Linked DNA regions of Daphnia pulex. The protein of the gene in region 6 purifies or fractionates together with the protein of the main gene of each other region. This does not show direct contact. Links are inferred from orthologs where the notes say so. Each region holds a gene or a part of one and is shown on either strand. Other genes may lie near its edges. The genes, in order: complement component 1 Q subcomponent-binding protein, mitochondrial-like; interleukin enhancer-binding factor 2 homolog; heterogeneous nuclear ribonucleoprotein A1, A2/B1 homolog; nuclear cap-binding protein subunit 1-like; endoribonuclease Dcr-1-like; ATP-dependent RNA helicase A protein-like.

Region 1 (4,175 bases), on a different chromosome or scaffold from region 6:
CTTGCAATTGTGCTGCCAGATTACTTATGTACTCCTTTGCCTCGCAAAGCTCTTTCTTCAGATTATCTATATCGCTGTTACAAGCCTTCAATGCAACTGATTTTTGTTCTAGTTGGTATCTCAAAGAGGTTACTTCCTCAACGGAGTTGCGACAATTGCAAGTTGGGCGTAAATTGTTTGGGGCAGCAACATCGGGGAGAATATAGTCACAGTCGTCCTTAGTTAGGTCTACAACTTCGTGGTTTGCACTATCGCGAGTGACTCGAGCAGTTGAAGCTTGGGCTTGGGCTTGAGCAGCTGGTTTTCCCGAATCCAAAATGTTCTTCTGGTGATGATTAATTAGATTCAGCAATAAAGAACTCAGATTAGTGTCCTGAGCGGTGGGGTTCTTTTTAAGCATCAGGTCTCGGATGTAAGTATCGATGTTGTGCAGATTTTGAGATATCTAAAGAAAAACCAAATCGTTAAAAATCGCAAAGAAATACTGAGGCAACTACAGTAATAAATTACTAGTCCATTTTGAGGAGCTGGCGATGATGGTTCCATCATTTCCATTCGAGATACGACCTCCGTATTTTTTGGCAATACAGGACAGGAAGGGTTTGCAGATTTTGTTTGTGCTGCAACAGTTGGTGAAGTTTTAGCAGGTTCACCTTTTTTCAGAATCAAAGTCTTGGCAGCAGGTTGTAGCATTTTTAATGGTTCAGCTACGTTGGTTTTGAGGGCTGGATCTGTTGAAGAAAAAGCTTTACACTTAATAGTCGGAGTCGAGTTTCCCGCGAGTTTTGGTTGTTGCTGGAGTGTCGTGGAAGAAGGAGGAGCTTGGATTTGCTGTACAATCTTTCCAACATTCTTTTGTACGATGTGAGGCGGAGTATTTAATGATGACTTTAGCGTTATCACGGTTCTCGAAGTTTTATCAAATGCATCTTTTCTCACAATCAAAATCTTGGAGGGAAGTTTCACGGTGTTTTTCAATGGTTCAGTTACTCTTTTAGGAGCATTGCTATCTCTGCTTTTTGGCGCAATTTTGACAGGCGTCGATTTTCTTCCTGAACCTTGACCGATTTGACTTAACGATAAAAGCTGCAGAAATTCGTTCTTTGAAACAGATGGTGCCAAAGGGGTAACTTTATCCGTAGACGCAACAACCAAATTTGCCTCGACGTGTTGTTGTTGAGCGGATGGTCCGGAAATTATCAGATGACCGTTGGATACTGTTGGTGAAATGCTTGATACAGGCGGTAGAGTATTCGACATATCTTTAACTTCGGTTGTGATGGAGTCATTTCCTGATGTGTTGAACTGTTTACTAATTTCACTTATTCGCGTAAACGACGTGTCGAAATGATCCTCAGCAGAGGGTAGTTGCATATCGATTGATTCAATTTGATTTGCATTTGGTTCAGGCAGCACCTGATTTTTAAACATTGTTATTATTTGGTGAAGTTCTAGGTAACAAAAAATTGTCTATACCTTGTTTTTTTTATTATTCTTTCTTAATAAAAGAGCTGCTTCTCTCTCTGCTATTTTAATTTTTGCTTCTCTTTTTGCCTTTTTTATGGCAAGTCTCTTTTTCTTCCATTTCTTTTCTCGAATTTTTACCTCGATGTCTTTGGCTTTTTTCTCTGCTTTCGTGGCTTTTTCAATAGCCTTCTCTTTTTTCTTTTTAAGTATTGGTAGACGACGACTACGCCTCTGACTCAATAATCTTTTTTTTTTAACTATACATGAATTTACAACATTGTAGTCAAAGCAAAGGTTGAAAAAGGTGATAATGACTTAGACACTATCGTACCTGAAACAGTTGTCTTCCATTGGTAAGCAGTTGGTGGCACTGTTGACTGACAGTAACTGTGCTCTTCTGTGGGGGGTGGAACAGGTATGATTTTTGGAATCGGAATGTTTAAACTTGGCACCCAATCCACACCTACATCAGGTTTACCTATATAGATATTGAAATATGATCAAATTATTTTCACACATATTCTATCTAACATACCTGATACAAAATGTTTTGAGCAAACTAAAATTGGTTCTCTTTCCGTATCAGCTTCAGTAAGACCCAATGCTTTCAACCACAAAGAACGTCTCTTTTGGATTAATTGTTTTGTCAATTCACACATAGGCCCAGCTTTTACCTTTGGGATACTTGGCATACTAAAGTATTTTTCATTTCCGTTACCCGATGTAACAGATGTGCAATATGGACTCAGAAAACATCTGTTACGAGGTCCCATCTTAAAGACGATTGAATATTAACTAAATATTCCTTTTATTGTTTTCACAGTTTCGGAGGGAGTTTGAGTTCAGTTTAAGTTGTAAACAAAAACCCACAACAATTAATCGATAGTGGAAAAAACTCGATAATCGATATATTTCCTCGTGGCTTCTGCTTTTGCCAGAAGATTCTTGTCTTAACTTGCAGTCTTGCTCTTGCACCACAGTCCCTTGCAGAATTATTATTTAATTCGCTGATAAAGTTCATCTTCGTTCGCTCTATTCATTCTTTAAAATCTCAATTTGTAAGACTCTGTTAAAGTTCAAAATCTCATTCCCATAATGTCATTTTCGGTGATAAATGTCGTTCGAAACGTTTCACGCCATGCGTTACCGGCGTCCATGAGGTCTATCCTGTCGAAACCCATTACCAGGTCTTTGTGGTACATGTCTAATCCCACAAATCAATTTGTCCCAACAAAACTTTCTCCAGCATTCAAACATACTCCCCTGAGCCCTTCCTGCCCATGTGGAGAATGCAGAGGAGTTCATACAAGAGGTAATACATTTTAACCATTTCACGTCACATTTAAATACAGCATAATATATGTTGCATCATAGGGGACAAAGAGCTGATTGAGTTCCTCTCAGAGGAAATTGCTGCTGAGAAGAAGGGAATGAGCAAAGCCAGGCCTGTCGCTAACTTGGATGGATTTGATGTTAAACACAATGGTTCAGAGATAGTATTGTCTAAGAAATTTAATGATGAACAGTGAGTAAATCTTTATGGGACAATTCTAAATTGAAACTTGTGGCTTAATTTTATTCATTAAACAGAATTGAGATAACAGTTAACGTCAACCATTCTGTTGATGCTGACATCAGTGAGGAAGTTGACAACAAAGCTGACAATCCTCCCCAGGCTGAAATGAAATCAAAACCACACTTTGAAGTCAAACTAATGAAGGGAAATCAAGTAACCAGATTTGCCTGCAGTTACATTCAAGATGCAGGAGAGCCTGTTGAAGATGCCCCAAGTAAGTGTTAATTGTATTTGAATAGCCAACAATATAAATAACACTCGATTTTTTCAGATGACATTTTCACTATTGATGAACTTGCAGTATATGAGGACAAACATAATGATCAGACTTATGCTGTCGCTGGAGACATTCTTGATGGGGTATATTTTAAAGTCAACAATATTTTAACCAAATTAAACTGATATTTCACATTTTCGTTATAGTACATGTACGACCTTCTGATGAATCTGCTCGAAGAACGAGGAGTATCCAACGAATTTGCTGAAAAGCTGAGCGATCTAGCTACCAAGCGGGAACACCATCTATTTATTAATTTGTTAGAGAGCCTTCAGTCTTTTGTCCAAGGCAAATGAAAGGTTTAGAATAGTTTTGAGATGAAAAATAAAAAGCTATGTAGTCATTTTGTTTAAAATGCTGATTTATTATTTATGGTTTTCCAAAACAATGGTTATTTAGAACCATCAGGGGTCTTAAATTCATTTTCAGTCCCCATTACTTCTTTTTCTATTTCTTTAAGGTCAATATTCTGTTCCTGGATTGCTTTCTAAAACAGAAAAGAGTAGATAAACATCTATAAAAGACAGAAATGTTGGACCAAAATTAACTTACCCTAACACATTCACGATACACCTTAAAGAAAGGACCACATGAGTCTGTTGAATGATCCCCTCTTAAGAATTTTTCTGTGAACCATGTGTTGAAACATGCATCATAATTTTGCTTCAATTGGCTACAGGCTTCACTTACACTATTCATGGTACAAATTTAACCTAGAAAAATAAAAATACAATAATCAATTAACATACTTTAAGAGCTTTGTGTGTCCCACACTTGTACCTTTGAACTGTAGATGAAGATTGGGCAGGATAAGCAGAGATCATTAACAAATTAGAGCACTTTTCTTGATTGAAA
Region 2 (3,731 bases), on a different chromosome or scaffold from region 6:
AAACCCTCCCATACTATAGTGAAATACAATTACAGAGTACTATTTGATAATTGCATCAGTATTGCTTTATACCTATGACCAAGCAGCACAAATTTTTCCAATCCTATTTGCTTTCTCCACTCTTCAATGGATTTCACCATTTCAGACTCAGCTTCTAAGGCATTACTGCTAAAGTGTGGTCTGCTGCTGGAACCAAAACCTGGAATAATATTGCATCATATGAAACGATTGTAATCTTAAACAAAAATGTAAAAATGTCTACCTAAAAGATCTATTGCATAAACAGGCCTCTCTCTTGCAAGGGTATCAAGGTTAAGGCACCACAATGCAACACCCGAAGCAAATCCGTGAAGCATTACCAATGGTGTTTTTTCTGCATCCTTGTTGAGCATCAAGGTCCATATTTTGTTCTCAGTGCCTCCTACACACTTCCCAATATTGACATACTTTGCCTCGTATGCAGTCTTGATAACTAAACAATCATACAGTTAATTTAATAGTGAATATGGTGACTAACTGCAAAGTGCCAACTTTACCTTTCAGAATTCTGCTCTCTGCTCGCTTAAGGTGATACATTGATGTTGGACACCACTGGATGTAATTGCTTACACTCCACCAACTATCAAAAAGTATATGAAATGGGCTAAAGATTAAAATTATGATTTATTTCGTATCTTACATACCACTTATTATCCACTTCAGCTACAGTTCCAGGAGTAACCTGTTCAATAACAGTCTGTTGATCTATTTCCATCACAATCTCTGTAGTATTCCCAGCAGAAAAACTATAGTTATGTAATAGGATGACACAGCTTATTCCTACTCTAGGCCTATGTAGAGACCGCCAAACGAATGTGGCTACTATTTATGCAAATGAATCAAGGACTGTCTGACGAGCTTAGACAAAACCTTTAAAAGTTGAAAAATCACGAGATTTTAAGGAACGAACACTATTTAAGCGTATTACAATCTGCTCGTTGTGCTGTAAATATGTTATCTCTCGACGAACTTCGGACGTACAGTTTTCTTTCTCTTTTATAAATCTGCAGCACCTTGAGTTCGTCTGCTTCAACTTTATTGATGATTGGATTGCTACGTAATGCTGACTTGAAAATTGTAAACAAACCAATTTTGAATGGAAGTGGCTATTGCTGTGGATAGATGGCTGTAGTAGCAAATGTTTGCAATAAATAGTTCTCCAGTATACTGGATTTATTGCATCGAGATTTAAATTTAATTAATTTTAAAATTATTTTTTTTGTGGTTACATTTTATATGTACATTATTCACTTTTTTTATTTGCCAGCGGCTAGGCTACGTTTGCTCTGCACATGACCACTGCATCCTGCGGCCGGCTGAGTTTCGTGGCATTTCGACATTTCGTAGATGTTGTTGTCTGCTAGGTCGATTCTGCTTTGAATTTGGTCGTCTTATTGTAGCTTTTGCAAAAGTTATTAAACGAGGTTGATAGTATTTTTATTTGAGCTCTAGTGTTGTTTGTGTCTCCATCAAACATCTCTGATTTGTAGAATCATCATGCGTGGAAATTTTCGTCGAAATTCTCGTATGTTACGGCGCGGTGGGGCCGGTCCGATATTGATGGGAGGAAGACCAATGCATCATATGTCCGGCTTTAAACCTCGTCCTCATATCCTTCGAATGCCGTTTGATATGTTTGTTTCTGAATCATTTTACCCACGACTCAAACCCCAACCTGATGATAAAGATCTCACTCAAGCTTTGTTGAAACGGCATGCTGAGCTTGTCCCTCCTGCCAACGAGCAGACTTCCATTCAGTGTCTTCTTCTCAAAGTACAGGGGATTCTTGAAGGACTTACTGTGGCCCCAGGATCCTTTGAAGCTTGCGTAAGTGCATATTTTTTATGACTTTTTGTGCCTGACAAGTAACCACCACTTATTGTGATTTTGAATTTAATTTCAGCAATTGGAAGAAGTGAGGATTGTTGGATCCTTTAAAAAGGGAACAATGGTCTGCGGTCACAATGTGGCTGATCTTGTCGTCATTTTGAAAACTCTTCCAACACATGAAGCTATTCGTTCCCTTGGGGCCAAAATCTTGGAGGAGGTGCAGAAGCAACAAGCACAAATAAGTATGTTGTTATTGGTGTACTAGTGTATTCAGTGTATTCCTTCTAAATAATTATGTTTACTTGGTTTCAGATCATGAACTTGAGATAACTGACCGAGGTTTTAACATTCTCAGCGTGACTCCGCCTGAAAATACAAAAGCGGTCGTTCGAGTTTTAATTACAACTATCGGCCGCAACTTTAGGCTCATCAGCTCATCAATGCATCTAGACATGAAATATCTCCAGTCACACTTAGCTGCCGTCCGACACAGGTAACATTTTTCTTTCAAATTCTTCTGTGGTTGTTTCGCTAAACATTTATTAATATTCAGCCGATGGTTCGAAGAAAATGTTAACCACACATCAGTTAAAGTCCTGATTCGCTTATTACGTGATATGAGGACACGCATAAAAGGACTTGAACCATTGAGCCCATGGATGATCGATCTTCTGGTAACTTTCAGTTTCTATTTATTGGTTTTCAGAGTTTACTAACTTGATATTTTTGTAATCACAGGCTCATTTTAGCGTACTCAACACCCCTAATCGACAAGCATTGTCCGTCAATCTAGCGTTCCGTCGTGTCATTCAACTTTTGTCAGCTGGATTCTTTCTCCCGGGCTCTTGTGGTAAGTAGACAAGGATAATAGTTTGCATTTTTCCAATGCGAGATTTCTTATTTCAATTTGTCTTTAGGAATACTTGATCCTTGTGAGGTGGGAGCCATTCGCGTTCACATGGTAATGACGATGGAACAGGAAGACTTACTTTGTCGTACCGCCCAGAATCTCCTACGGATCCTTTCTCATGGAGGCTACAACGCCATTCTCTGTCTTGATCAGAAAAATGGTATTTCAACTTTTAATTATATTCATTGACGCGTCAATCTTATTTTCCAAATTTTCCTTTAGTGGACCCTACTGCTGAATTGTCTGTATGGAACGGCATCGTCGTCACTCCTCAGGACAGTGTCTACGATTCAACACTATACGATAGGAAAACCGGCGAGGAACCCGAAGATGAGGAAGTTGAAGAAGTTGAAGCCCCTACAACAGAGAAAGAAGCCGATTCTGCCATCTAAAGATTTGATGTTTCCGTGTATTGACTTTCGGTGTGAACAACAATGACTAGTTCGGTTCAATTAATGACTAGAAAAAACAGATTTGTTATGAGTATTGAGAGTTAAATGCAGGGATTATCATCGCCCGTGAGATCAACGGAATCGCAATTGATTGTATCAGTGCTTTCAAGAACAGGGATTCGGAAAAGCTGCCCGGCTGGCATGCAGATGCACAACTTGTATTCAGCCACTTTTGTTGCGTTGTGATCTTCGAGTCTCCCAGTCACGGCCATGGCGTCTACATCCATTATTACGCCATCAGATCCGTCTAAAATAATGCTTCCATTGATACTGCGCAACAGAAGATCCTGGTCGGCTCTCATTACAACTTCTTTGCCCCGGATCCTCATTCCCTCTTTGCCTTTCACGCGAATGGCTTTCTCTGATCTGATAAGTAAGGAGCCTTCCAACTTGCTAGTAATCCTGTTGGCCGTGGCTTTCTTGATGTGTAAGTTCAAAACACCTTTAGGCAAACCGAAATTAGGAAAAGTTGTAGAAAATGCGCTAGTCTTTGGGGTTGT
Region 3 (3,972 bases), on a different chromosome or scaffold from region 6:
ATCTTTTCGGGGTCAAGTCCTCGTTCAAACCCTCTTGGACGATTTTCTTCCTGGAAGTCACAAATAAAACGTATAAATGATCATAACCAAAGCCAACTTATTGTCGTGAAATTCCACAAACCTCCGAAGTCTTCTTCTTTGCTGGTCTTTTTTCTTCTGTGGTTTTTTTGTCACGTTCTTCAATTGGGAGTGAACGCTTTTTCTCTTTTTTGTCAATTTCTTTCTTTTTTTCCTTTTCCTTTTCTTTTCTTTTTTCCTCAAATTCTGAAATCAAAGCAGGGCAGTCTAGGTTTTCCTCAGGTTCCCAGGTATTGTCATCATCATCGTAGCCTTTCCACTTTAGGAGATATTCAACTCGGCCATTTCGTACTCTGAATTTGATAGATGACATTTGTTGGTCAATAATGATCAACGACAATATAAATATTTATATATACCTTCTATCCATAACTTTTTCAACAGAGTATTCCTCTTCAGCAGGACTTTCTGTTGCTGGAGTAGCAGGAGTTTGTTCATCCAAAACTTCTTTCTCTTTCCCTTTTGTGCTTCGGCCCATGTTGGAAATTGTGTAGCTTTTTTCACAAATACTAATTTCTAAAAGAGCTGACTTATCTGCAAATAAACAGATAAAAAGATTATATATCACGGCCACAGTGGAGTCTGATCACACGAGAAATAGACATTTTTGTTGAGGGGATTAATCACGAGCTTGGTTACATAGACGTTTCTCACCGCCACAATCGAATATAATAAATATAATAGATTATTTTGGCATGGGCAAATGATATGAAATAAGTGTAGTTTTCTGGGCATTCAAAAATATTTTGTGGCTGATGGAACCAAACTCAATTACCTTAACTTAATTCGCGTGATAAAAAACGTTGAAAAGTCTGTAACAAACCGACAAGAAATGCGTTTAGTAGGAAACCATGACTCTAAGGGGAAAAAAGGAGAGCGAGAAAAGGGCGCCAAATTTGCACTTAATAAAAAAAATAAAATAATTATTGATAAAAATATTAAGTGGTCCAAAAGATACAAGAACAAATTCTAAATTTTTCCAGCTATTTATTCTAGTTGTTTTTATAAAACATAATCAAATTAGAAGAAAAAAATAATAAAATAAATACTGATTGCTGTTGGGAAATCGTACAACTTGGCAACGTTGCAATCGAGACAAAATTTGGCAACATTGTTCCTTCCCTTCCGACTTTGCTGGATGACGCTTTGATCAAAGCATAAGAAGAAGAAGTGAGCAATCCCGGCGTACTTGTGTTACACGTTGGTTAGTCGAAAAATGAAATCCGAAACCGAAGAACAACAGCAGCAACAGCCTGAGCCGGTCGTTGAAGAAGAAGAACGAGAAACTAAACCACCAGCAACAGAACAACACACCGTTAAGGTTAGATTTTGCTTTATTAATAAATAAAATTGCTGATGATGGAACCCCTAGTTTTGCGACCCTTGACGTATTGTGAAACGTAGTTTTAAGTTCCTTGTTTATTTAAATGACACAAACATTCTATTTGATTTGTAGGAGAAACCTGAAGCTGAGCAGTTTCGAAAGTTGTTCATTGGTGGACTTGACTATCGCACAACTGATGAATCCCTGAAAAAACATTTTGAACAATGGGGCCAGATTGTGGATGTTGTTGTAATGAAGGACCCCAAGACGAGGAAGTAAGTTGATACCAGTCTTTCATACCTTGGAATGCTATTTTGATAAAGTGTTCTTAATGTTAAAATGAAAATTAATTTGGGGTAATGATTCTTTCAGGTCTCGTGGTTTTGGATTTGTAACATATGCCCGAGCTTTCATGGTAGATGAAGCCCAAGCAGCAAGACCTCACAGAGTAGATGGCAGAGAGGTTGAGCCAAAGCGTGCTGTCCCTAGAGATGTTAGTTTGTCTTACTATTGATTCTATTCTAAATATTTGTCTAACATTTTCTTAAATAGTTGATAGGCAAACCTGAAGCAAGCTCAACTGTCAAAAAACTTTTTGTTGGTGGTCTGAGGGATGATGTTGAAGAAGAGGACTTGCAAAAGTACTTTTCAACATTTGGTCCAATCGCCTCAGTGAATGTTGTTACAGAAAAAGAAACCAACAAGAAAAGAGGTTTTGCATTTGTTGAATTTGATGATTATGATCCAGTTGACAAAGTTGTTTGTAAGTACATGGCCTACATTTTTCTGGTATCTTGTAACTAAAAAAATCTTGTGTGTTCTAGTGATTCGTGACCACACTGTTAAAGGAAGACATTTAGATGTTAAAAAAGCTATCAGCAAAGCTGATATGGATAAGATGAAGCGTGGCGGTCCTTCTCCTGGATCGTCACCTTCAGGTCGTGGTGATTACCGCGGGTATCGAGATAGCGGCCGAGGTGACCGAAACGCCGACAGAGGCGGGGATTTGTGGGAACGACGGGATTCATGGAGCAACGGAGGAGGTTCTGGTGGGGGCTGGAGCAATGGAGATCATTGGGTTGGTGGAGGATCTAGTAGTTATCGAGGTAAGTTTTTAAATAAAATTGACTTATTATCACTTTTTAATCTATTTATCTACTCTTTAACTAGGAGGAAATGGTGGAGGTCGCGGTGGAGATTATGGTAATGGACAATGGGAAGGTTCGAACTGGGGTGGCAATCAAAGTAGTGGCGCTGGTTGGAGTGGTGGTTCCCCAGGTTATGGAACAAGCTCAGGTATGTATTTCTTTATCAATATTTTGAACATTAATTAAAATATAACTTTTAGGTGGTAACTCATGGGGTGGTGATTATGACAATGGCTATGGAGGGAACATGAGAGATTTCAACCAAGGAGGCGGTCCAGTGAGAAATAGCTACGTAACCGAACGATCAGTGCCATACACTCGCGACTATGGAGGTAAAGTTGTCTTAACTATTTGAACTCATTTTCTAACTTTTTTTTAGATTCCTATTGAAAGTAAAAACTTCCTCGTCATTGAGCACAATTTCACTGGACAAGGAAGAATTGAATGTAAAGGCTAGAATCAGAAATGAAAAGCCGAGTAGGGATGCGTTTAGTAATGTGAATGTGTCATGCAGTTGCAAATTTCTGTGCTTGATGAAATATCGAGAATTTAAAGGCCTTGCAGTTATGATTCCATGAAATCGGATTGACAGGTGATCTAATCTGTTTCTGATTCAAAAGGTGCAGGGCGAGGTGGTGGCTTTACAGGTAGCCCCAGTTACGGGGGTTCGCGACGTTATTAGTAGACAAGTCCCATCTTCCCCTCTAGGTAAGTTTGAGGTTTATTACCATCAGGCCTTCTAGCCCGTTTCATAGGGACAAGTTGAGCCGCAATCTGAAGAGATAAAGAATGTTGGAAGGAGACAGGTTAGGATAAGATGTGCGTTTCATCTCCTAGGTGTCGTCATGTTGTTCTGTAGCCAAACCAGAACAGGAGCAGTGAGCCAGGTCCAAGATTCATCAATTAAGTGAAGGCAGTTACAACTATCAGCCAACCAGCAGTACCGAACAAGGCCGCTAACGCTTAGCGAAAACATCCTAAACCTCGGACAGGATAGCAGCTTCGATCGACACTTAGAATGCAAGATTCAGGCAGTGTGATATAGATTTCGTCGCCAACTGCCACCTTGTCCCCTCCCCTTCTCGTAAATGGATCTTAACGTCGTTTTCTTCATTTTCTACATGTGAACTACATTTTTTTTTCTTCAGTTTTTTTTTAACACCCACGTGTTTGAGTTATCCCTTTTTTTACAACTAAATGGATGTGTAGTTGCTTAGCTTATCGTCTCGTTGGCTTAATTATTGGCGATTAGCTCTCCGACCATTGATTTTCTCTCCCAATCATATTGGACACATGTCAAATACGTGTAGGTGTGCGCCGAATCGCGAGAATTTTAAATCTAAATCACTCAATTTTTGATTTTCATCATCAATACACTTCATCGATCCCATTCTGCTGTTATTGTGCATTATTTGTTTTTAC
Region 4 (4,265 bases), on a different chromosome or scaffold from region 6:
AGAAACTGAAAAAGGGTTCTGTGACAGCCAGGGAAATGGTGAAAGATTAAGCACAAACAATTCTTTACCAGGTATGGCTCATGTGGTTGTTAGCAGACTTCCATTCATCGTTAATTTTATTATTCACTCTTCATTGTTCATCATTTCTTTTTGTATTCAAGTTGTAGTCATTGCAGCGGAATCTTTATCCACCAGTTCAGTGAATAACAGTAGTGTCCCATCAACAACAAATCCTGCTGTGGAGAAAAGTGTGAATGCGGGCCGTAAACGGGCCGAGAGCACACGTACAAGAGACTCAAGTACGAACAATTCTTTACCAGGTATGGCTCATGTGGTTGTTAGCATACTTCCATTCACCATTAATTTTATTATTCACTCTTCGTTTTAATCATTTCTTTTTGTATTGTAGTCAATGCAGCGGAATCTGTAGGCCTATCCACTAGTTCAACGGATGACAGTTATTGTGTGTCAAGCAATCCTGCAGGCTTAATCAATGCCGCTCATCAAGCTGATGTTCGTTCCATTCCATCCACAGTTTGCACTACGAGCCAAGTTGTGAATTGTAGCCAAGGTATACGGACGATTCGGCAAATTTGACGTTTGCCGAATTGGTTTTTGCCGAATTGGTTGACTTTGTTATTTTCCCGAATCGTACATACCAATTCGGTAAAAAGCCAATTCGGCAAAATTGTTTAAAATGCCGTTGTAAGGCCAGTGGCGCTAGCTGTGTGGGTTTCGGGTAATCAGCGCCACCACCAACACGCGAATTATACTGTCTTTCCCGAGAGATCTTTGAGCCCTTCCCGACATAAACACAAAACAAAGTGGAACCTGCTTTAACTGCCCATTCTTTTTTAGAAAACCATGGAGGGAAAATAGTTGAGTGAAAGGGAAGTTTATTATTTTAAAGGTTCCGTCGGCATACCATCGAACGGCAGTTTTCAAAAGCGCTAGTTGTTCGTCAGTCATGAAAATTAAATGACGTTTAGAACCAACTACAACTTCTCCTTTAAAAAACGAAGTGGGCATTAAGTCCATTTTGATTTGAAAAAAAAGATCAATTGGGTTTTTAGCAGTGCGCTTTGCTTTTACCCGATTTACAGCCCTAGCTAACGTTGTGGGGTTAATTGGGTTCCACAGTATTTGCCGCCAATTTACATTTGCACAGTTGCCGAATCGACTTTTGCCGAATCGGTAATTTCATAGGTGACAATTCGGCAACTTTGCCGAAACGGTTTTCGGCGATTTGCCGAAATGGTTTTTGCCGAATCGTCCGACATTCGTAGCCAATTTCACCTAAATTGAATTCAACAAATCCCATTTTTGCGTGAATTTAATTCAATTCAGCTGAATATAAACTGAATTGAATTTTTGCGCCAAATTGCGTTGCCTAAAATAAACAATTTTTACAGCTACGTTGTCAAGTTATGTAAACTATTTTCACGATCATCGAAGTTTATGATTTCATCAATAGATGGCGTCAAATTAACAGCTTCTTTAATAGCTCCATATGACAAACAGTCAAACAGGGTGGTAGTAGTTTGTCTGTCTTGTAAGCGTCGTAGACCAATTTAAAATAAAATCAAAGAATGAGTCGTAGGAAACGTGATGATGGATATGGTAAGGATTACAACTTATTGAAGAATTTGATGACATTATAAAAAGTTATTTGTTTAAAATTACAGAACATGGGTATCGTAAAAGGCGCAGAGTTGTCTCGGAGCAGGCAGAAATTGAAGACCGGTTAGAATCTCTTATTATCAGGGTTGGAGACAAAACGTCATCATCTTTAGAAAGCAATTTAGAAGGGCTTGCTTCAGTATTAGAAGCTGATTTGAACACGTACAAGAGTAAAATATTACGTATTTTGTCGGAATGCCCAATCCAAATGCCAGAGAAATGTACTATCTACAGCACATTAGTTGGTCTTCTGAATGCTAAAAACTATAATTTTGGAGGAGAGGTTTGTTTTAAAATTGTACTTTCAGTTTTTAAGATACAAGTATATCTTTTTTTAGTTTGTGGAACAAATAGTGAGAAACCTAAAAGAAGCTCTCCGTGAGGGGCAATGGGAATCTGCTCGTTTAATTGTACGTTTCATATCTGACATGGTCAACTGTCACATAGTCTCTGCCTCTTCCTTGCTACAGTTATATGACAGTTTTATTGACGCTGCCATGGAACAAGGAGTTCCTCAGGTTCGACGAGACTGGTAATTAAATTTTTGTTTTATTCTAAAGCAAGAGTAATGTAGATCACAACACTGTATCAATTTACAGGTACATGTATGCGTTGTTGACGGCGCTTCCTTGGGTTGGTCGAGAGCTTTTTGAAAAGAAAGAAAATGATCTTGAACGTATAATGGCAGCAATGGAAGGTTATCTTCGCAGAAGAAATACTGCTCATGTCGCTGCTCTTCGAGTTTGGAATTGTGAAACTCCGCACCCACAGGTCAGAAATGGCATGGCATTTTAATAATAATTGAAAAATTTCGAAAAACGTTCTTTCTAGGAAGAATACCTGGAATGTCTTTGGGCTCAAGTACGGAAATTGCGGACAGACGAGTGGCAGGAAAGACACATTTACCGTCCATATTTAGCTTTTGATTCTATCCTCTCTGAAGCTTTGCAACACAATCTCCCGGTCATTCTACCTCCGCCTCACACAGCTAGTACGCAATATCCGCTACCATGGGTTGTTTTCAGGATGTTTGATTACACTGACTGTCCAGAAGTAAGTTAAACGCTTTCAAAAGTGTGTATCGTGCGTATTTAACTCGGGACTCATTTTCAGGCTGGTCCACTTTTACCAGGAACTCATTCAGTAGAGCGTTACTTGATTGAGGAACATTTACACCAGATCATCACTCGTCATCATAACGAACGCAAGGAACTGTGAGTTTCAACTTGACAGAAACGTTTGTGCAGATAATAGTAAATTAATTTTGCTTTTCAGAGCCACCCAATTGTTGGCGTTCCCACAGAGAAATAAGATCCCTTTGGAATACATGATAGTTGAAGTTCTCTTCTCAGAACTTTTCCAAATGCCTTCCCCTCGTTACTTGGAGATTGCTTATGGTTGTACTTTGATAGAACTTTGCAAGCTTCAACCAAGTACAATGCCTCAGGTGAAAATATGATCTTACAGTAGAAACTTGAACATTTTCATTTGACTTTTTATTTCACAACCAGGTGTTAGCACAGGCTACGGAGTTGCTTTACGAAAGAATTGATACCATGAATGCCACCTGCTTTGATAGATTCGTTTCTTGGTTTTCTTACCATCTCAGTAACTTTCAATTCCGCTGGAGTTGGGATGACTGGCAGAATTGTCTTTCACTCGAAAAAGACCACCCCAAGGTAAATGTTTAAAAAAATGAAATTTTTCGAAATCTATCTAAAGGAACACTTAAATTTCAGGCAAAATTTGTTTCTGAAGTGTTCGGGAAATGTTTGAGACTCTCCTATCACAAGCGCGTGACTGAAATGGTGCCTGAATGTTACTCACCGCTGTTGCCCCCGAAACCAGAACCGTACTTTAAATACCAAATTGAAGGAGGAAATGGTTTTCCTGGGGCTGCTCAAGTCCAGACTTTGACTGAGCTCCTAAGAAAAAAGCCAACGCCTGAAGAAGTACTAGAGTTGGTCCAGCAACTACCGAATCCTCTCAAAGGTAAATATGGTGGATACAATATGTATAACTTCAAGCCATTTTGATGCAATTGTAATTAGATGACGACGGGGATATGGAGCCTTCACACAATCCTCTAGCAATTGAAGTATTTGTTCAGACTCTGCTACATTTGGGATCGAAGAGTTTTACGCATACTTTTGCAGGTCTCGCTAAATATCATTCAGTCTTCAAGGTATTTTCAACAGATTGAAATGTTATCGATAGTATAAAACGATTCAATTTTACGTTTCTGTCATAGAATATTTGTGAGAATGAAGAGGCACAGATCTGTATGCTTCGTCAAGTTTATGAGCTCTGGCAACACCACCCACAATTTTTAGGAGTGGTAGTTGATAAGATGTTAAAGACACAAATTGTTGAGTGTTGTGCCGTAGCAAATTGGATCTTTTCACGAGACATGGCACCCGAGTTCACTCGTTCGTACATTTGGGAGGTCTTGCACTTGACTATTCGCAAAATGAACAAACACGTCGTCCGTCTAGAGAAAGAGGTGGCGGATGCACGCGCTAAACTCAGAGCTGCACCATCTGATTCGGAATCATCTGATGAAGATCCATCTAGAGGTGCGAACA
Region 5 (4,170 bases), on a different chromosome or scaffold from region 6:
TTCAATTAATTCTCGTTTTATGGTACGTATCCTCCACACAGGGGTTAAGCGTGTGAAACAATCGCTAGGCAACTTTGCGCAATATCTACAACAGAAATTTTTCATGAAACCTAGTTTTACAGAATTAAAAAAGTATGTGATACCTGTTAATTATAGAAATCGCGTTTTGCAAAGATGCATACGAATTAGAAGTTTCATCAGAAGGGTAGGGAGCCTGAATGCAATTAAGCATATCTTCGTTGTGGTTGAAAAACTCAGCAACCGAATTGTGATACCCGCTTTTACTTAACAGAATTTGTTCTGTTGCATGAAAGTGAGATAAATCCACTAAAAACTCATCCATGCGCTCATTTTCGACCATGAGGATGTAATGTGCTTTTTTAGCGCGAGCTCGAGCTTTTGAGTGAACGTAAGCCCGGTAGGATTGTGGTAAATCGTAACGAATAACCAGATGACATGCCGGAACGTCAATTCCATCCTCTAATACGCTAGTGGCTACAAGAATGTTACAATCACGACTACGAAATCGTTTCATGACGTCTTCTTGCTTTCTTTCTTCATTCTCCATTTCTTTGACACTCACGCCTTCCATTCGGTCAACCGTATACAACGGGCTTAGATAAGCTAGTTGTGGATCACAACGACTTGCATCCTATAAAAAAATGTAAATGAATATTCGGCATTAAATATTACATAGCAATACGAGAATTTTGTCGTTGTGGAACCTTTAAAAGATGGTAGAGTAATTTTGCTGTAGTACGTCTTTCAGTGAAAATCATCCCACAGAGCTGGTAAGCATCTTCTCGATTTCGGTGATGGCGATTTGAGAAATCAGGACGCCGCCGTCGACTAGTGTGTCCTGGTTGAGTTGTCGATTGACGCAAAATCGCTGGACCGTTTTCAATTAATTCTGCGGTTTGCGACGTTTCGGTTGCCAACTTTGGGGTCTGAACAGTTTGCCCTTCGGACGAAACTAAAGAATCGCTTACTTCTACTAATTCAGCACTTGTGGGCAGCACGGAAGGTATCGGCGGTCGGTAGATCCGAAGAATGTCCAACAGGCGAAGAACCTTGGGATGGCTAAACTTCACGATACGTTCATATTCAGAGTATTTCTGAAACTCTTCTTCGCACAATGATCTAGAAAGTAAATATATATATATCATGTATACAAAGTACGTTGAAATGTGTACTTTAAAAGCGCAAACCTTATTTCAAGTAAAACAGTGAAGACAAGGCATAATAGAAGATAGTGTCTTTCATAAACTGCTTTCGTTTTCAATTTTTCTAAATGAATGAGGTATACCAAAGCAGCACGGTCTGCTCCCCAAGGACCTAGGTCAATTATATTGTATTAATTTTTAAAATCGTCTAACGTAAACTTCTAAAAATAAATAAAAAAACTTATAAAAATATTTGTGATTATTCACCAAAATTTTGAATGATTTGGATGTATTCTTCAAGTAGATCAAGAGGTTCATGACATGGATTAGGAATCTCTTTTAGATAATCTTGTTCCCCATAGTACTCAGCGGGATCATATCGATGATCTCGCAGATAATCATTCAATAAAAGAATACGACCCATTATTTCTTGCTGCAGCTCTGTGGCTTCATACTTGGACGATATTTCACATATCAATTCTTTGGGTCGAGTTGAATGCCTAGATTAAATAAAACATTAGAAGAGTTAATTTTCCACAAAAGTAGTCAGCAAGCAGATAGCATATTGGACTTCATCATGCCCACACTAAATGAATTAATCACCATATACTTACTGCAAGGCTGACAAAACGTTGTTGGAAGTCGAAATAACCGATTTTAATTTTGTTTCCAGAATAGTTATCAACTGAGACAGTTCCATCGGCTTGCATATGTTATTTACAATAGATGCAGTTAATCCAAGGATTCTTGGATGTACACTACTTGCTGCATTTTCATAGAGAGTTAAAACTCCTTTTAAAGCTTCATTGTTCATAACATTATGGCAGTCATCCAATATCAACAAATTAAGCTTGTTCATTTTGAGAAAGTTTTTGTGGATGACTTCTAGAAATATGGAATATGTCATGACAAGCACCTGACTTTTCCCCAACTCCTCTGTCCATCTTGAATAATACATATTAAGTGTTTTACAGTTAATTTTATCCATAAAATACTTCTATAAAAATTTACCTTTCAGAACTCCACTGCAATACACCTTTTTTCTCATGAAAAATTCCTACTTTCAATGGAGTGTGATGGCGCAAGTAAGCTGAACGCTGAAGTGCCAATTTGATTGTTGGGGTAAGGTAAACTGAGCAAAAACCTCCCTTGGGTAAGAGCAGAGAACTAATTAAAACAGTAAGTAAATTAATGAGTTAAAATTTTACATCACTTCATAACTTACTTGCACACTTCAAAAGCTTTTTCTCGAATTAACATTACAGCAATGAACATCTTACCCAAGTCAGCTTTTAAACATGCAATAGTATTTTTAACTTTTGCAGATTCAAAAAGTTCAACCTAAAAAAATGTATAAACAATATTTCTTAACTAAACATGGCAATCAAATATAAATTTGTTAAAGAATAAGTCTAACAATAGTATGGAAATCCTATACAAACCTCAAAATCTCTTGGAGTAAAATTATCATTTGATGATAAATCCATCATTTGAGGTAACATTTTAGCGAATAAAACGAATGGACATAAGAGGAAACTCGAGAAAATTTCTGAAGCTTAGTAACAACTTAAGAACATCAGAACTCAGATGTAAAAAGTTTTTTGTTTACAGGTTTACAGCATGAGGATGACTTAAACAACGATGCCATATTAAAATATCACATGGCCGTGAAACTCCCTTTTGCAGGGTTAACCGGGGGGTTGATTTAACCCTGAAGGGGAATTTTGCTTCATCTAGCGAGGAAAAGACACACATATTTAAATCATTACTTTGTCTGATTGTTTATTAAAGAATGTATAGTTGTATACGATGTTAGATATCATCGGTAACTCTACAGCATACAAGCATATAAACCTAAATCATACGTAGATTTTTTCATATATAATCATTTAATTGTTTTTTAGTATTCTAGATATGTCGAACAATACGGAATTGTTGGTGTTCGCGCTTGCAAGATGATGGGGCCTAACGGCCTTCGTTATGTTATCGTCAGCATCACGCATCACCATGGGTTTTCATTCCCCACATCTACTTTAAATTTTTATTAATTATAGTGTTCTTGTTATTATACATCCATTTCAGTTTTCTCTCGTTCTGCGAATTTTAACGTTTTATAACAGAAATGTGAATTCGACGACTGCCGACTGCGGAGCACCTGGTCGCTGTAATTGAGGTTGGTGTGGTCAGTCTGAGGAGGACGTGTGAACGTTGTAGTTGTATGCCTACCGATCGGATTCAGCTGAAGCCGAGATCGGTCGCTAAGATAATGCAAATAAAAATGAACAAGGCAACTTGGATACAATTTTATGTGTCATTGATCGTGAGATGAAAATGAACTGTAGGACTGTAGATCTCTATCATTGGTTTCCTGTTTTTAATTTAATTTTTAATTCATTTTAACGAGTGCTTTTTTTTTCTCTTGTCTTTCCAAGAATAGTTTAGTCAAAATACCGATGACAATCATATCAATCATTTCTGAATATTTTGGGTTAAAGTCACAATCGGGTTGGATTAAGAAAAATCCGGTTTCAACATTTTTGGATAACAACGATACAAGGGCAATCACCCAACTGTCTATTGGTGCAGCAACAAAATCCCAAAGGCGGACACCCATTGGCCTTTTTTTAAATAATAATACACTAGTCGCTAGATAAGAATAGCTAAGGCTAGGAAAATAAACCAATTAATGTGTAAAATAACTTATGATAACTCTAGTAATCTCGACCGCAGAAAGATCATTCACCATAACTAGACTGTTCATTGTTTTCCATTTTTCAACAGCGTTTTCACGTGTTACGCACCCCTATAAGTTTTCTGGTTCAAGCAGCGGTTTTCAAATTTTTAATATACCTTCACATTGCCTTCCACACACTACGGTTGCTTAAACCGAAAAATGTAACATAGTAGGAATGTTGTTAAAGCCATCTCTGGTTAAAGCATATTACGCAGTTTAAAGGTCACATTTTACAACAACCCATTATATTTAAGACCTTGCTAAAATTCTATA
Region 6 (4,240 bases):
TGGCTTCAATTCAGATAATCAGTTTCAAATTTAAAATTTCCGTTTCAATTAACGTGATATTTAAAGACAGGATGTGGCAAGACATGAACCAGCTGCCGTTGGAGCCTTCTTATAAACTCAATTGGTATATTTCAATTTAAGAATGATGAAGACAATTGTAAATTTTATTAAACTGTAATTTTATTGAACTGTTTAGAAATTCAGAGAAAAGAATCTTGATGGTTTGTGCCTTTGTGGGTGGACAAGGAGGCCCTTGCTTTCAAAGCTCTTGAACTCACCATTTTCTAGTCAAAGGCGGTCAAAGGGCCATTCACAGTTTCCCAACGAACGAACCCGTGAAGCGACTTCTATTCCAGCCCTGGCTGCCCCGGCTCCCGCAACTGATAACGTGGCTATCCCACTGCCGCTAAATGAAAGCGTGAATGCTCTGGCTTCGTCTACTCTTTCCTAAGAAACTTAAAATACCTCAATGCATCAGAAGGCTCTGTGTGATTCGATTAAAAAAAAAAAAAAAATGAAAAACTGTTGAACAACCCGGAACAGACAGCGTATAATTTTAGTTTTTTTTATAACCTTCTGTGTTGAGAGAGACTGGTGTTAGACCTTCGTCAATAAATTAGTAGCCTTCCCCGGAAGCAATCATATGTTACTGCATCTAGCGACTTAGTCGAAAACTGTACAGTAATCGATTTTTTGGCAAGTAACAACAGGTTACCGAGAATATAACACCAGCTCGGGGGGGGGGGGGGATTTGATATTATCCCTTCTTTTCAAGGTTAATTACATTGATTGATTAGGTATGCCTGTGTTGCCTCGGCAGCTTTTTCTGGATTTTGGTCTTCTTCTCAGCATGTTCATTTGCAATCCCTATATAGGACCAGAAAATCCGACCCCTCGCTTTTGCTCGCGAATTTCCTCTAGGTCCTACCTTTTTTTTACTTTTTTTATTTATTTATTTTTATTTATTAAATGAATAAAAATAATTTTGTTCTTATTACATGCTGTTATTTCCCTCCCTGTTTTTAATTAGATATATCTGTAGCAATGACGGCTAAGGTGCAGCGCCCTTGCAACTCTATAACTCTATAGGTGAATAGGTCCGACCTTTTATAAATTTTTTAAAATACTTTTTTTTATGTGATATGTTTTTATTTCCCCCTCTATTTTTAACTATTTAATCATATCAGAAACAAGGGCGGGTAATTATGGCCTCGTTCAGACTAGCCTAGTAGCGGAGACTCTATAGAATACTGGCATAACCACTCATTTGGCGAGCGCGATGAGAGAGCCCTTCATTGTCATTTTCAGCCATTGCCATAAGCCTAAGCCAAAAGCCATTGCCTTTTTTTCTCTAGAAGCCTGCCCAGACGCTTCGTGAAAGGCGCCACAGCGGTGTGTAGGGCAGCGGGAATAGAGGGTGTTGGGAGTAGCCGAGGGGTAGGGCAACGCGGAGGTAGGGTTAGTGTCAATATCGATATCTTAGCTCCGTTTTTCACTTATCGGTCGCGATATTGGGAACAGCTTCGACTCTGAGAAAATTTCCGAGAGGGGGGAGTTAACATGGCAGTGGTTCCTTCTTTACTCTACTAGAACGAGAAGGAGAACTAGAAGCAGAAGGGAGGGAAGTTAACTCACCACTCTCTTCTGCTGTTTAGCCCTAAACCCTAAACACTGACTTGCTTGCAGTCTTGCAGACGACTCTAGAGAACAATCAAAGCATTCTTTTCTTTTGATCTTTTCTACACTTGTGACAGTTGTAGTTTTCGGTTAAGAAGGAATTCGTTATCAAACTATTTAATGTGTTTTGAAGAGTGATTAGTGGTTCAAACTTGTAACGATTCTTGGATATACATACATTTTTGAGAAAAGATGGAGAACAAAGGGGAACGAGATATTAAAGAGTTTTTGTATGCTTACCTGATGAAAAAGTTTAGAATTCCACCAGTTTACGTCGTTAATTCAATGGGTAACCCTATATTTACAGTCTAGAATAAAACAGCAGTGGTCTAATGATTTGCTTAATTTTTGCTGTGTCATCAGGAGATCAGAGTGGATACTACTGTGAGCTGCGTGTGAGAGGTGAGCACTATACAAGTGTGTGGATCTTCTTTTAATTACATTTCTTTGGTTTTTCATTCAAGGATTCAGTTTTGTTGCAACTGGAAGGTCAAGTTCGAAAAGAAATGCCCAAGCCAATGCTGCCAACAGCTTTGTTGCACATTTGGTTTGCCAACAAATCATGAGAGAAGAAGAAATTCCAAATAGGAATACACTTACTATAATAAAACAAATGGGACCATATGGATGTTCAGGTATGTACATTCCTTGGATAAATAATCCTAATACATATAACATGTACACACAGCAAAGTTTGAATTGTCAAAATGTCAACATTTCATGGAAAAGGTAACACAGTCATCAGTGGAAGACATGTTCAGAGAACAGATGGAGATTCCCGATTAGGGAGGGAAGCAGCTCCATTCAATCCTGGAGGATACTCTGTAGAAAATGCGAAAGCTAAACTGCATCCATTTTTAACGGAAAATAGAATCAAAACAGATTATGTGTACCAATCTTATGGGCCTGATCATCAAAAGTAATTATTGTTAATGCTTGAAATTGGGCGTGTTTGAATTAACCTAGACAGGTACAAAAAATTAAATATTTTTACAGGAGTTTTTTCGCCGAACTTCATTTTGTCTTCCGTGGCAGAGGTAAATTGAAATCATTTGCCCTAAACTTATCTTATTTTAATACTTAATGTTTATCTATTCTAAATGTTTATCTATTCTAGAAATATATGCTCGTGAAAGAGCTTGTACAAAGGTTCTGGCTTCTAAAGCTTGCGCCCTTTCGATCGTCCAACAATTATTCCAAATGAAATTTATCGGACCGGCTGGGTCTCTGGTTAGTGGTAGCAAAAAAAACCAATTGGAAACCAGACCCTTCACCGTCATTGTTCGCGATGAATTGGAGAGGGAACTCAATCGCACCATTTTGGAACACCGTCTGTTACCTAAAATAGTAGTATGTATTATTTTTTCATTGTAGTTTTTATAAGGTTTCTTTCGCCCTCCTGTTAAGTAAGGAGGGCTTTCCAAAAATTGTACCGTGGACGAATTGCCGGGTACGTTGGTTGTTAATGGTTTCAGCAGCAATACTCTCACCATTCGTTCATTGAGTATAGGCCTCCCACTTGATAAGGACAAACAGTAAAATGTGTTTTACAATCCTTTATACTTTGGTGCGCCAGAAACTAGATTGTGAATGGCGGTACTATTTGCGAACGAGATCTTTTTTGTTGTTCAATCTACATTTATAATTATCATAGAAAACGATAGTCTTTGCTTTAGAAAACAAAGCTCACGATTAGTTTTTGGTATATTTTAGAAACAGGGTTTATCCGAACCGCAAACTCTGTGGGATGAGCGACTTGCACCAAAATCTATGCGCCTTGGTGATATTGATTCCCGCCATGGGTCAATTGACATTCCGTGGTCTCCTCCTACTGCCAACTGGAACACATGGACCGCTAGTAGAATCGAACGAGGATATTACGCCACGGTATTATTCAAATTATCTCGGTTCTGAATGTACAGTATAATTTTTCCCCCTTAGAATTCATTGGATACGATTAGTCAAGACTTGTGGCAGAGACAAGAGCGTCTTTTACAATCAGATCAGAATTTTCAAAAGGCACTAGAAGAGCGCAAATCTTTACCTATTTATGCCTTCAAGAATGATGTTATGGATGCTCTTTACAATAATTCTGTCGTCGTAATTCGTGGTAATACGGGTTCTGGCAAAACAACACAGGTCAGCGTGATACCACAAGTTAAATTAGGATGCAATTATTTTTATAGCAATTTTTCTGTAAATAGGTATGCCAGTACATTCTGGACGATTATTTACGTTGTAAGGAAGGCGCCCAGTGTTCTGTTATTGTAACGCAACCACGAAGAATTTCAGCCATATCCGTCGCCGAACGTGTAGCGTCGGAGCGTCGGGAAGAAGTGGGAGAATCAGTTGGATTTAGCGTCCGGTTTGAAAGCACACTGCCTCGTCCATACGGATCAATCCTCTTCTGTACTGTTGGAGTACTTCTCCGGAGATTAGAACGGGGTCTTCAAGGCGTATCTCATGTACGTTATGTGATGTTTACCATATTTACTAACGCCCGGAAATAATGGCTTATTTAAAATATCTAGGTTATTGTTGATGAGGTTCACGAACGCGATAC

The links.
Region 1: the proteins of ATP-dependent RNA helicase A protein-like (region 6) and complement component 1 Q subcomponent-binding protein, mitochondrial-like purify together in Homo sapiens (affinity purification with mass spectrometry; 3 studies listed by BioGRID and IntAct, with this or other methods). This does not show direct contact. The link is inferred for Daphnia pulex from reciprocal best matches to the Homo sapiens genes DHX9 and C1QBP.
Region 2: the proteins of ATP-dependent RNA helicase A protein-like (region 6) and interleukin enhancer-binding factor 2 homolog fractionate together in Homo sapiens (co-fractionation; 5 studies listed by BioGRID and IntAct, with this or other methods). This does not show direct contact. The link is inferred for Daphnia pulex from reciprocal best matches to the Homo sapiens genes DHX9 and ILF2.
Region 3: the proteins of ATP-dependent RNA helicase A protein-like (region 6) and heterogeneous nuclear ribonucleoprotein A1, A2/B1 homolog purify together in Homo sapiens (affinity purification with mass spectrometry; 4 studies listed by BioGRID and IntAct, with this or other methods). This does not show direct contact. The link is inferred for Daphnia pulex from reciprocal best matches to the Homo sapiens genes DHX9 and HNRNPA2B1.
Region 4: the proteins of ATP-dependent RNA helicase A protein-like (region 6) and nuclear cap-binding protein subunit 1-like purify together in Homo sapiens (co-immunoprecipitation; 3 studies listed by BioGRID and IntAct, with this or other methods). This does not show direct contact. The link is inferred for Daphnia pulex from reciprocal best matches to the Homo sapiens genes DHX9 and NCBP1.
Region 5: the proteins of ATP-dependent RNA helicase A protein-like (region 6) and endoribonuclease Dcr-1-like purify together in Homo sapiens (co-immunoprecipitation; 3 studies listed by BioGRID and IntAct, with this or other methods). This does not show direct contact. The link is inferred for Daphnia pulex from reciprocal best matches to the Homo sapiens genes DHX9 and DICER1.

The regions. Positions count from the first base shown.
Region 1 is NC_060026.1:13,819,527-13,823,701, forward strand, and holds complement component 1 Q subcomponent-binding protein, mitochondrial-like, read left to right. Parts: upstream 1-1,416; 5' UTR 1,417-1,476; coding exon of another isoform or gene 1,477-1,724; 5' UTR 1,725-1,798; coding exon of another isoform or gene 1,799-1,945; 5' UTR 1,946-2,002; coding exon of another isoform or gene 2,003-2,240; 5' UTR 2,241-2,562; coding exon 2,563-2,779; intron 2,780-2,841; coding exon 2,842-2,992; intron 2,993-3,057; coding exon 3,058-3,257; intron 3,258-3,314; coding exon 3,315-3,403; intron 3,404-3,466; coding exon 3,467-3,616; 3' UTR 3,617-3,675; downstream 3,676-4,175. Other genes in the region: uncharacterized protein LOC124203752, read right to left, coding at 1-445, 511-1,416, 1,477-1,724, 1,799-1,945, 2,003-2,240.
Region 2 is NC_060024.1:13,504,772-13,508,502, reverse strand, and holds interleukin enhancer-binding factor 2 homolog, read left to right. Parts: upstream 1-1,311; 5' UTR 1,312-1,463; intron 1,464-1,529; 5' UTR 1,530-1,536; coding exon 1,537-1,866; intron 1,867-1,942; coding exon 1,943-2,111; intron 2,112-2,181; coding exon 2,182-2,362; intron 2,363-2,422; coding exon 2,423-2,543; intron 2,544-2,607; coding exon 2,608-2,719; intron 2,720-2,786; coding exon 2,787-2,939; intron 2,940-3,001; coding exon 3,002-3,171; 3' UTR 3,172-3,231; downstream 3,232-3,731. Other genes in the region: (Lyso)-N-acylphosphatidylethanolamine lipase-like, read right to left, coding at 1-13, 73-199, 263-472, 537-619, 684-754; beta-sarcoglycan-like, read right to left, coding at 3,273-3,731. UniProt on the Homo sapiens protein: Chromatin-interacting protein that forms a stable heterodimer with interleukin enhancer-binding factor 3/ILF3 and plays a role in several biological processes including transcription, innate immunity or cell growth.
Region 3 is NC_060019.1:11,840,388-11,844,359, reverse strand, and holds heterogeneous nuclear ribonucleoprotein A1, A2/B1 homolog, read left to right. Parts: upstream 1-1,172; 5' UTR 1,173-1,294; coding exon 1,295-1,399; intron 1,400-1,534; coding exon 1,535-1,677; intron 1,678-1,774; coding exon 1,775-1,895; intron 1,896-1,954; coding exon 1,955-2,165; intron 2,166-2,226; coding exon 2,227-2,508; intron 2,509-2,572; coding exon 2,573-2,698; intron 2,699-2,750; coding exon 2,751-2,882; intron 2,883-3,170; coding exon 3,171-3,232; 3' UTR 3,233-3,258; intron 3,259-3,387; 3' UTR 3,388-3,940; downstream 3,941-3,972. Other genes in the region: chromobox protein homolog 1-like, read right to left, coding at 1-50, 122-371, 438-556. UniProt on the Homo sapiens protein: Heterogeneous nuclear ribonucleoprotein (hnRNP) that associates with nascent pre-mRNAs, packaging them into hnRNP particles.
Region 4 is NC_060022.1:6,378,315-6,382,579, reverse strand, and holds the start of nuclear cap-binding protein subunit 1-like, read left to right. Parts: upstream 1-1,465; 5' UTR 1,466-1,589; coding exon 1,590-1,620; intron 1,621-1,685; coding exon 1,686-1,963; intron 1,964-2,018; coding exon 2,019-2,212; intron 2,213-2,279; coding exon 2,280-2,451; intron 2,452-2,511; coding exon 2,512-2,733; intron 2,734-2,793; coding exon 2,794-2,894; intron 2,895-2,955; coding exon 2,956-3,127; intron 3,128-3,191; coding exon 3,192-3,359; intron 3,360-3,419; coding exon 3,420-3,672; intron 3,673-3,731; coding exon 3,732-3,865; intron 3,866-3,931; coding exon 3,932-4,256; intron 4,257-4,265. Other genes in the region: uncharacterized protein LOC124196162, read left to right, coding at 1-71, 162-320, 410-597. UniProt on the Homo sapiens protein: Component of the cap-binding complex (CBC), which binds cotranscriptionally to the 5'-cap of pre-mRNAs and is involved in various processes such as pre-mRNA splicing, translation regulation, nonsense-mediated mRNA decay, RNA-mediated gene silencing (RNAi) by microRNAs (miRNAs) and mRNA export.
Region 5 is NC_060018.1:8,404,954-8,409,123, forward strand, and holds the start of endoribonuclease Dcr-1-like, read right to left. Parts: upstream 2,801-4,170; 5' UTR 2,666-2,800; coding exon 2,606-2,665; intron 2,505-2,605; coding exon 2,389-2,504; intron 2,331-2,388; coding exon 2,175-2,330; intron 2,108-2,174; coding exon 1,778-2,107; intron 1,664-1,777; coding exon 1,431-1,663; intron 1,336-1,430; coding exon 1,209-1,335; intron 1,141-1,208; coding exon 726-1,140; intron 653-725; coding exon 144-652; intron 86-143; coding exon 1-85. UniProt on the Homo sapiens protein: Double-stranded RNA (dsRNA) endoribonuclease playing a central role in short dsRNA-mediated post-transcriptional gene silencing.
Region 6 is NC_060025.1:4,801,691-4,805,930, forward strand, and holds the start of ATP-dependent RNA helicase A protein-like, read left to right. Parts: upstream 1-1,440; 5' UTR 1,441-1,869; coding exon 1,870-1,966; intron 1,967-2,040; coding exon 2,041-2,079; intron 2,080-2,141; coding exon 2,142-2,312; intron 2,313-2,406; coding exon 2,407-2,596; intron 2,597-2,673; coding exon 2,674-2,714; intron 2,715-2,794; coding exon 2,795-3,027; intron 3,028-3,093; exon of another isoform or gene 3,094-3,210; intron 3,211-3,390; coding exon 3,391-3,564; intron 3,565-3,618; coding exon 3,619-3,816; intron 3,817-3,881; coding exon 3,882-4,142; intron 4,143-4,208; coding exon 4,209-4,240. UniProt on the Homo sapiens protein: Multifunctional ATP-dependent nucleic acid helicase that unwinds DNA and RNA in a 3' to 5' direction and that plays important roles in many processes, such as DNA replication, transcriptional activation, post-transcriptional RNA regulation, mRNA translation and RNA-mediated gene silencing.